Oryzias latipes: one gene and its partners. The protein of the gene in region 1 interacts with the protein of each later gene in a pairwise test. Links are inferred from orthologs where the notes say so. Each region holds a gene or a part of one and is shown in the gene's direction. Other genes may lie near its edges. The genes, in order: mid2, leng1 and bysl.

Evidence for each region.
Region 2: the proteins of mid2 (region 1) and leng1 interact in binary tests that used the Homo sapiens proteins (3 or more experiments, as listed by UniProt). The two-hybrid records come from large-scale screens. The link is inferred for Oryzias latipes from reciprocal best matches to the Homo sapiens genes MID2 and LENG1.
Region 3: the proteins of mid2 (region 1) and bysl interact in binary tests that used the Homo sapiens proteins (3 or more experiments, as listed by UniProt). The two-hybrid records come from large-scale screens. The link is inferred for Oryzias latipes from reciprocal best matches to the Homo sapiens genes MID2 and BYSL.

The regions. Positions count from the first base shown.
Region 1 is NC_019868.2:12,745,683-12,749,337, reverse strand, and holds part of mid2 (probable E3 ubiquitin-protein ligase MID2), read left to right. Parts: intron 1-912; 5' UTR 913-968; coding exon 969-1,790; intron 1,791-3,655. UniProt on the Homo sapiens protein: E3 ubiquitin ligase that plays a role in microtubule stabilization. Mediates the 'Lys-48'-linked polyubiquitination of LRRK2 to drive its localization to microtubules and its proteasomal degradation in neurons.
Region 2 is NC_019874.2:19,390,911-19,394,665, reverse strand, and holds the start of leng1 (leukocyte receptor cluster member 1), read left to right. Parts: upstream 1-1,501; 5' UTR 1,502-1,840; coding exon 1,841-1,972; intron 1,973-2,312; coding exon 2,313-2,489; intron 2,490-3,566; coding exon 3,567-3,755. Other genes in the region: tmc4 (transmembrane channel-like protein 4), read left to right, coding at 1-128, 289-444, 566-644, 765-818.
Region 3 is NC_019863.2:2,266,078-2,269,612, reverse strand, and holds the end of bysl (bystin), read left to right. Parts: intron 1-2,193; coding exon 2,194-2,296; intron 2,297-2,410; coding exon 2,411-2,765; 3' UTR 2,766-3,009; downstream 3,010-3,535. UniProt on the Homo sapiens protein: Required for processing of 20S pre-rRNA precursor and biogenesis of 40S ribosomal subunits. May be required for trophinin-dependent regulation of cell adhesion during implantation of human embryos.

The DNA.
Region 1 (3,655 bases):
AAACTGCATGTGAAGAAGGGGACTTGTGTTGGTAAAATCTTAAAGATAACATACCTTCATCAAATAAACCATTTCCACAGCAATCATGTATCATTTGGAAAGTTCATATGTATTCTAAGCGGAAGAAGATAGATGGATATGTATTGAAGGCTGATCTTTACTGCTCATCTCTGTAATCCCCCATTACAATATGTTCCAAGGAAATCCCAACAGGAATAAGGTAAACACCCTTTAGTTATCACACACCTTGGTGTGTGAAATTTATTCTCCACCTTTGACCCATGCTCTTGGGGAGCAGTAAGTTTCAGACACAGACGTGCTTTAGAACATTTTAGGTGTTTAACTCACCAATCCAAAACTTCAATGCTGAGACATTGGGTTTTGATTTTTAGTCTTTGGTATGACTCAACTGAGGATTTGAACCCACAGACTTCTAGGCTCAGGTGAACACTCTCCCACAAGGCCGCTAAGTTGCCAAAACGATCAAAGTCTCAAAATATTGAAGGGATTGTTTTATAATGGATTTGCTGAATTAAAGTGTTATCCACGATTCCTTGCACAGAAAAACAGCAGGGCAGGAAAGACTATAGATTTTGAATGGTACAGTTTAGGCGCAAATAGATTTATTTGTGTTTTCTTCAGTTACTTATAAATTTAGAACATTGTATTTTCATTGTTGTATAAAACAGGAAGTTTTACTTACACTATTTATCAATAAAAGTGAAAAGAAAAACCAACAACACCTGCAGCGTTTTAATTTTTTCTTTGTTTTCAACAAAATATTCTATATTTGGTTCAAGTAAAATAAATCAGAAATAAATCTTAAATTCCTTTTTGACACTTCTTTATGAATAAATGCCTCAGAAGATCCTTCTCAGTAAGCCTTTATTTTGTTTTCTCTCTTCCCCTCAGGTACTTGGCCAGCTTCCGTGGGATTTGATGTCTTCTTTAGATTGGTTTAATTGAAGATGGAAACACTGGAGTCTGAGCTGACTTGCCCGATCTGCCTGGAGTTATTTGAAGATCCTTTGCTCTTGCCTTGTGCCCACAGCCTGTGCTTCAACTGCGCTCACCGCATCCTGGTGTCTCACTGCTCCACCACCAAACCCTTGGAATCCATCTCGGCCTTTCAGTGCCCCACCTGTCGCTACGTCATCACGCTGAATCACCGTGGCTTAGAAGGCCTGAAGCGCAATGTGACGCTGCAGAACATCATTGACCGCTTCCAAAAGGCCTCCCTGAGTGGACCCAACTCCCCCACAGAGAGCCGGCGCCTGCAGCCGCAGCGGCCCTACACCGCCACCATTAGCGGTACAATAGCCGGGACGATCGGCGGAGGTGGTGGCACAGGCGGAGGAAGTGCCCGCAGCAGCCCAGCCACCTCCAGCCATTCGCACCCGCACTCCAACCACACCAATCACATCAACCACAACAACGCAAACCACAGCCCGGCCATCGTTGTGAAGATGGAGCCACGGATCAGCTGCCAGTTCTGTGAGCAGGATCCGCCGCGCGAGGCCGTCAAGACGTGCGTTACATGTGAGGTGTCGTACTGTGACCGCTGTCTGCGCGCAACACACCCCAACAAGAAACCCTTCACCAGCCACCGCCTGGTGGAGCCAGTGCCCGACACCCACCTCCGCGGCCTGACCTGCCTGGAGCACGAGAACGAGAAGGTCAACATGTACTGCTTGGTGGACGACCAGCTCATATGTTCCCTCTGCAAGTTGGTGGGGCGCCACAGGGAGCACCAGGTGTCCTCGCTCACAGACCGCTTTGACAAACTAAAGGTTGGTGCTTTGATTTAGTTTACCTGTTAACACATAATTAGATAGTCTTACATTTAATTTAAGTCATAAAACTTACATGAAAAACAAGGATAATAAGGATTTATATAAAAAAAAAAACGTGCCATGTTTGTATACCTATCTGTACATGTTTGTCTTATTGACTCTCAAATTTAAGACCCACCGAGGTTAATTCATAAACACCAGTTCTTTTGGTTAGCAAGAACTACAGAAAGGCTGATCCTGAACACAAAAAAGAGACAATTAGTGTGGTTTACTAGTGAGAAGGGGCGAAGGGAGATGGAGGCCAAAAGAGAGGGCCGTCATTATAATAGTCGATGAGCTGGCATTCCCTGTGGACACTGAGCTTTCACAAGCTCGGCGTTAAAACTGAGACTGCTGAATCAGGGTGAAAAACAACAGAGGAAGGCCGCCGCCAGTGCTAACTCCACCAAAAAAGAAAAAAAAATTGCTCAAAGCAGTTCTGTTGGCTGGCTTTAAAACTTTTAGTGTGTTTTGGGCACTGAATGTGAATCAGTTGATTATTATTTTGCCTCTGTGCTATTTAAAGGAAAGTTAGACAGAAAAAGAGGAAGGAAAAAGCAAAACATTTTAACACAGATTTTAGGTTTCAAATGAAAAATGAACATAATTTAAAATGCTGTAATAAGTAGCTGTGCGTGCTTCCTCTGCTGTAGGGCTGTTCAAATGTGTGGAGACATGCCAGTTGGAGGATCAGAACTCGTGCAATAATTTCCAAAGTATGTGTGCTGGAGGTTAAGGCTTGATGAGAAGATAGGACAAGTAGATATTGAAATGTGCTGAACTGGATACATTATTCTTCAAAATGAACCAAAACAAAAAGTCAAAAACAGGAAGAGGAAAGGTTACATTAAAAAATGTACTTGTTTATTGTTATACAGGTACAGTTAAACCCTGAAAGACCCACTCTGATCATCTTCTGATCTATTTTTAAAGTGTTCCCAGTGGTCTTTTAATTATAATTATTGCTCTTTTTAGCCATATTCTCTGCAGATCAGCAGGAGTTCATTCAAAATTTGTTGTTCAGTTGTGGACCGGAGTCTTGTTGCGGAGCAACCACGCCCCCCATTCACCTCGGTATTTTTCTGATAATGGACATATGTGAAGAAAATTAAGTTTAACATGTAATTTCTGAGTATTTCTTTATTTAAAACATTGTGAATCTGGTGCAGATGAGCGTAGAAAATATGCTTGCTGGACCACAAGCTCCGTCCCATTCAGTTGCATCCTTTGTAATCTAGTGGGACGTAAACAGAGAGTTCTCAACAATAGTGACCAAAAGAACATGTTAAAAACACCAAACATACAATTTTTATTGGAGTGGGTCTTTAAGATGTTCCTTATTAATTGAGATATCCTTTTTCCACCATTTCACTAAAGCACAATTGTGCTTTAACAGTCACTGTAAAGTGCAAAAGTGTAGGTGTGAGAGTTGTGTTAGCTGCGTGTCAATTTTGCATTGTTCGTGGTCCCTGTGCAGCACAAAGGAATCAATCTCATCAGGTCTTGGAGGTAAAACACAGCAGTAATGTTCTCAGCGGCTCGGGAAAATCCTTTTCATCTCGGTGTAAATGCACTCCCACATTCTGTATTATTGATGATTTGTGTTATGAAAACTGTGGCTGTCGCCCGCAGTTTTGCTGCACGGTGTCAGCGAAAATGTTCCTGCTCAACACCTCTCGCTGAGTGAACTCACATCAGAGGAGGCTTTATTTTCAGAAGTGTGAGCGACCCTATTCCCTCCAGCCTGTAGGAGGGTTTACTGTAAGCTGTTTGCCACACACACAGTGTCCATGGCTGCCTGTGGTTCTTTTCAGCACTGCCCA
Region 2 (3,755 bases), on another chromosome or scaffold:
ACACTGTTCTCCAACTGTCGGCCACCCCAAAAAACGTTTCGCTCCACCACCTCAGCCTTCTTTTTCCTGGTGGTACTGCTCTTAGGCTGGATGCTGGCCTCAGTTGTCATGATTTACAGCATTGCTGTGTGAGTGTGGATGTTTCTTGGTAACATAAATAATACAATTATTTTTCCTACTGGTCAGAAAGTCAAAATTTGGCCAATTTGTCGCAATACAAAAAAGGCGATGGCTTTGTAGAGATTTATGAAATTATGTCTGAGTGACGTTCCGTGTCTGTCCATACAGGATCCATCCTTCTCGGGGATGTGGGCCTTTCCGGTTCTCTGACAACATGTGGTTGATTATACCGACATCTTTCTACAACCTCTCTGCAGCCACACAAGAGTTTCTTTTCTTCATTGGCTCACAGGCGTTTACAATCCCCCTGTTTTCATTATCGGGGTAAATCCATTTTCATTTTACATGAAAATCATTGAACTGTCTTGCACTGTGCAGATATAGATGATATTTTTCTTTGAATGCCAGTTGATTCTTTACCAGCTGACTTGTTTCTCCGTCATAGTTTGGTGATGTGCTACGTCATAGCTTTGTTCTCCATCTATGGGAAAAGTGTTGGACTGCTAAGACTGCAGCTCAAACGGGTAAGTTGATGGTATCTAAAGCAGTATACTAAGAATTGGCCATGAGTTAACAAAGATTTTTTTCAATATTTCCTTTTTTACTTTAACTAATACAGGGTCTGGTCTTTTTTGTTTTTACAGGAGAGCCGGGATAAGCAGTTCTTAGTCAAGCAGATTGAGGAACTAAGTCGGTAGATGACCAAGATACCATTTGATAGATACATATATATACTGTATCTACCACTACAAGACTAAACAGCCTCTGGACAATGTTTAGTCTCTGCAGTACAGTAACATGAGACGATGTCATAAAGAAAGGATGTTTATTAAAAAGAAAAAAAAAGCTTCATATTATATATACATAGTGAAATTACACCAGATTCTTTCAAAATAAAATGTTAAAAATGTTGCACATTAAACATCACTGTTCTTTAAGCACTTTAAAAGTGATCATTTAAACAGGTGTTTTGATCATTTTTGGATATAGACTTTGCAAAGAAATGCATGTAAAAAAATTGAACCTCTAATACTGTTTTAAAAAAACAAGACAGTTGGACAGTGTTTTTGTTAAGACGAGAGCAACCAAAAATAATTGTTTATTTTTGACCCTTTTGAGACTACGGTATGTATTCAAACTTTTTATATTCTTTTCTTTAAATGTTGTGATTTATTTGTATTTTTTTAATGAGAAGTCCTTCGTTTGCTGTTGTTTTTTTTTTTTTTTATTGCTTTTTAAAGTTTAGTCTTGCTCGCTTATGACCATTACATTTATTTCTTTTGAATAAACCAGTTGGCGCTCGCTCCAGCTCCATCTAACGATTCTTCTTTGTAATTGCTTCAAGAGTTGTAACTTTTTTTGTTTACTTCCTGTTTGGGTCTACTACTTCCGGTGGACCACAGCAAACCTGGAATAGATGAACTCTCCAAAAAGTCGGACAGATTTGTTTGTTGTTAGACCTTAGGATATTAAAAAAAATAATACTGTGCTTTTAACGAGCCAGGTTTGCCGTCATGAATGCTAACTTAATGTAGAAAAAATGTAAGCTAATGTTTTAAAATCTAGACAATTGCGCAGATTTTTTGCTAATTTCTGCTTTACTAATCATATCAGACTCAGTCACCTGGCTGATTCGCGTTCCATATTGTTGTAGATCAAAGGCTCGGGTCTGTTCTTCCTCTAAATTTTGAGTTAGCTAACTGCTAACAGTAACACCATCATGAATATCCTTCCGAAGAAAAGCTGGCATGTCCGCAATAAAGACAATGTAGCGCGCGTGCGAAGGGACGAAGCCCAGGCTGCAGAAGAGGAGCGCGAGGCTAAACGCCGCGTGGAGCGCGCGGAGCAAGAAGTATGTTCAGTTTTACCGTTCGTTTTTTGTGTTTACATCTGTCTGTGTTTCGTGCTGGCAGAGTATACGTTAACAGATCACGTGACAGTTTAGCTGGTTCTGAGCTGAAAATGAGTTGGAAACCTCTGCAACTGAGTAGATTATATGTATTTTTTTCCTTTCCTTTTGGGGGGTTGTTATTCACAAATCATATACAAAATTGAGGTTTGAACACTATCATTAAGAAAGTGTGTTGTTCCATCGCTAATATGGAGCTGATGTTTATTTTTTATTGTGTTGATAATCTGAAATAGATTCAAACTTCATAACATGCAAAAATTGTCATGGTTTGTTTCCACAGGCGCGAACAGAATATCTGAGAAGAAAGGCCCGAGCTGGTCTCCAATCAGTGGAAAGCACAGGAGATGATGGGAGTCAAAGCGGAGGACATGTGGAGCATCTCAATCTTTTTCCTTTGGAGGAGTCTTCAGATAAGAAGGGGAATGAAGAGTATCTCAAAGAGAAGAAGGAGGAAACGGTGATTGTGCTGCTACTTCTGTTTATATTCTGAAAATTACAGGTTTATCTGAGTAAACACTCACTAAAAATAATTTAGGAAGTCCATTTTATGGATTTTTTCTTTTCATTTGTTGTAGGAGAGGAATGGTGTACAAATCCCAGGAAATTGATTGTCTGATCCAGCACAGATTAACATCTATTTTTGTTTGTGTGCATAAAATACTATAACTATTGTGTTTTTCATGTTTGAAACTCTCATTCTAATTCTGCATTCAAAGAATGAACACTTTTAACAACCAGACTGCATTTGCTTGACAGTTAGTTTTCCCTTGTTTATCACGGGAGTTATCTTCTAAAAATAACCCACATCAGGTGAAATCCACAAAGTAGAATTCGAGATGTTTTAAGGCTGTAAAACGGAACTTTGTTTCATGTTTAAACTCTTAAAGTTCAAACATTTGTAGTAAAATAAGTCATGTATTATAGAATAAAACAAAAAAATCTGTTTGTGGTTGAAGATTTAGATATTTGGCAAGCTAAACGCATTCTGTACAGGAGACACCGCTTGGAGGAAAGTACTTGACAAAGTCTACTACCAATCAGGATGCAGAACAAATTGAGCTGTTAAAAGAAATCAATGAAAAGAAATATGAAAAAAATCAGCGAGAGCGTGAAAGATATAGCGAGGGACCACTGTACTCAAAAGAAAAAAAACAGGTTGCTCATCTACAAGTTGCAAATGAGTAGCACTCTGCAGCTTTTTGTTGATTTTTAAATCAGTAATGCTAATTTAAAAAGGTAAACATCCACTTTTCCCCACCTAATACACTTGGTTTGCTGTGGTTTCTTATTCTACAGTGGCAAAAACGTGCAGCTGGATCTCATCAGACTCTGTCAGGATTTTTATTTTACCAGGAAGTTCTGATTCTACTTTTATGCAACAATGTTCAGTCATCTATTAGAGAAGGAAAAATGACACAAAGAACAATTTGCATGAAAAGGCAATGGAGTTTATTACAGTTTTTTTTATTCTCCAATACAATTATTTGAAATGGAATATTTTAAATATTGATCATAGCTACTCTGGTTTGTCCAGGAGAAGCAAGAGCGAGCCATCGGCCTGCTTGTTTCTTTAGGCCCCCAACCAGGCACTGAGGTGACTCCATGGTACATGCAAAGCAGCGCAGAAAAAGAAGAAGAAGAATCGGAAAAGAGGAAGGGCATAATTGAAGAGGAAAAGGCGAAGAAAGACCGCAGGCTGAAGGAAAGTTTGGATCCTTTGAAA
Region 3 (3,535 bases), on another chromosome or scaffold:
TATGTACTAAACTGAGTCAAATAGTTTCAATACCTACAACTTTATTATATAAAGATATTCTATCCCTTAATGCTGTTGCTGTTCATGTTTAAAAAGGGTTTCAGTTTAAGAAGACCATTGTTCCAAACCAAACTATGACCTACTTTAAAACATAACATCCCCTCCAAGTGTCACCACTAGGTGGCAGTGCTTCTCTCCAGTGCAGCAACATCATCTTTTGTCTTTAATACCTAAGCTTCCATAACCATTGATACAAGTATTATCCTCTCAAGATGAGTAATGATAATTAAAGCTTTAATCATAATATAAAACAGAACTGTATTTATATTTATTAGCAGTAGCAGATACTTCCTACTGAGCTAAACTATCTCTGACCTCAGAGTCACACATTACCTGGACAGGTGCGTGTGTGGGGGGGCAAACTACTAAAACATTATAAAGTTACATTTACAATAGAGAAAAATGAAATTAAATGAGTGCAAACGAAACACAGATAAGTTTAATAAGCGACTATTGAAGGCCCGTATTTGTGACGTATCTGGACGTCTTTTTTCTAATGTCTTGGTGCAAAAAGGGAGAGGATCTTATGGAGATTAAACTGGTATTCTATCCATTTGCTTCCACTTATTAGTTTTCTGCTGTAGACTATGTTGAACAATTTTTTAGGGTTGTGGAGCAATTTTTTTTTATCATACATTCATACCTGATAAGGGTAACAAAACTAATAATATTTTATGCTAAAAAGTTTTTTTTTTTTATCCTTTGTGCTGTCTGGTGGGGTCCAGATGACCCCACTCCCAACATTAACGTGCCTTGGAGGCACGTAGTTTGTCTCTTGGAGGCAGTGCTCTGAACCTTTTTTCTTCAATGATTTGTGATCTTCACTGGTGTCCATGGATTACATGAAATCTTTCACCTTTATCCACCTTTGTCATGGTAGGGAGAACACGTCAATGTAAGGGTGGGGGTCATCTGGACCCCACAAGATAGCACATGGGCTAAATGTTTATTATTTAGAATTAGAAATGGTTCTTTTTGGAGGCTTTTAGCCACATCATTAATGCTACTTGTGTAATTGACGAAATGTTTGGTCTAAGTCACACGTGTCAAACTCAAGGCCCGCGGGGCAAAATTCTATGTGGCCTGCGAGAGCATAAAGGTTTTTAATTTCTTAAAATAAAAATTGGTGTGTATTTATTCATATCTAGGGGGAATCGGACTTGAAATATCAGATTGGGCAACTATACATTAGGACTTAAACACTGTCCATATAACCTAACCTGACAGAATCAAATGTAAAAGGATTTATGCTAAAGTAAGAAGAAAACATATGTTTCTATGCAACTGTAATTGTCACTTTAAAAAGTTATAATAAATAAACAAATGAGTAATCTAACATTAAGGAGTAGTTACATTTATTTTTCTTTACATTAAGTTACATGTATAAGTTATATCTGGCCCTTTGAGGACAACCACTATGCTGATGTGGCCCTCAATGTAAATGAGTTTGACCCCCCTGGTCTAAGTGAACACCTAAAACTTTCAATCTTCTCTACATTGCGTGATGTATATATATTAAGAACACCTTTCAAGTTGTTAGCTTTAGTAAACAACATTCAAGCTGTTTTTAGATGGGTAAGCAGAAAGATTTGTCACCGTTTTAGAAACCGTTTAAAGTGTTTCCATAATGTAGGCCAGCTCGTTCCTGGTCCTCGGGATCTACCACCCTGACTGTTTCCCAGATCTCCAAGCTCTCCTGGGTCCTGATTAGCTCAGTCAGATATCTCCACATAATGATTGAATGAACACACCTGTTCCATCCAGGTGATCAGCAGGAAGGATTGCAGGAAGAGCTGGAAAACAGGCAGGGTGGTAGATCTCCAGGACCAGGAATGAGCTGGCCGGCCCTAATGTATGTAAAAGACTGCATCGTCTGCATACAAGCTGAACGTTTGTCCTAAACAAAACTGCATTTAAGCATTTTACAAGAGTCTGAATGAAATGAACAATAAAACCTATCATGCAAATGTCTATAAAGCTGCCCACAAGCTAACAGTTGTCCAAAATGTAACATGTTAGACGAATTCAATAATTCATATAGAACCCGTTTATTTTTTATTTTTATGGAAATTTACCCTGTGGAGCATTTACTCCCTATGGTCTTCACCTGGTTTATTTTTTATTGTTAAACAGGTATACTGATTCCTCTGTGTGAATCTGGGACATGCACTCTCAGAGAAGCCATCATCATTGGCAGCATTCTCACAAAGTGTTCGATCCCTGTGCTGCATTCCAGGTGAGGCCTCTGCACCCTGATGTCCAGATGTTATTGTTTGATAAAACCAGCTTTGTAATACTTTCTACTGTGGCAAGCCCAACATTACATAAGAGGTTTGATTTTGCCTTTCAGCGCTGCAATGCTGAAGTTGGCAGAGATGGAGTATAACGGCGCCAACAGCATTTTCCTGCGTCTGCTGCTCGACAAGAAGTACGCCCTGCCTTTCCGTGTCCTGGATGCCTTGGTGGCCCACTTCCTGTCTTTCCGTAGTGAAAAACGTGTTCTTCCTGTGCTGTGGCATCAGAGTCTGCTCACCCTGGCACAGCGCTACAAGGCTGACCTGGCCTCTGAACAGAAAACGGCTCTGCTGGAGCTACTCAAGCTTCAAACACACCCTCCCATTTCTGCAGAAATTCGTAGGGAGTTACAAAACTCAGAGTCCAGGGACATTGAAATTGGGCTTCCTGTTACTGTAGAAATGCACTGATTCATGCTAGGAAAGTTGATCATTCTTCTCACATTTCTTTATGATTATAGATCTTCCAGTAAATCAAACTTCTTGTTGTAACACGGAGAGGGTTTCAAAACTCTGTGCCTCCCTAGAGAACGCCAGGAACAATATGAACCGGTTTGTGCCCATAACTGTCCTTACATCAGTTTAAGAGTTTGGTAAAATTTTTGTTTCTTTAAGGAAACTATTTGGAATAAAAATAAAAACCTAATTTGTAAAAGTTGATTTATTTCTTTACATCTTACATCATTCAGGGACACTAATTGAGGAGAAAACTGCTGATTAGCTGGAAACGAATCTACATTAATACTAAGGCTGTGTCTGAATTCCCACCCTAACCCCCAACTACTAAAAAATTATATAGTGCGGCACTATGTAGTGCCCTGAATTTTAAAGTAATTCGACACCATGCTGACTACTTTTTTATTTTTAAATAGCGAATATGAAATCATCGATTTCACAAAGTTAAAATCTTCTTAAAATTAGTGTTTTGCGATGATCATTTATGAGTCCACTGTCTTCAGAAGATAACGAAAACGTTGATTGTTTATTAAAAAACATACAATTTAATACATTTTTTTGGCAAAAATTGTTCCGACGCAATGCATTGTGGTCTATATTCGTTGATCTAGTGAGCATCGATGCACACTGGAATTTTGCAGAGACCTCTTGGAAATTTCTAGGGCACTGGATTTTGGAAATGTAGATTCGGGCAGCACTACAAAATGGCGAATGCATTATTTAGT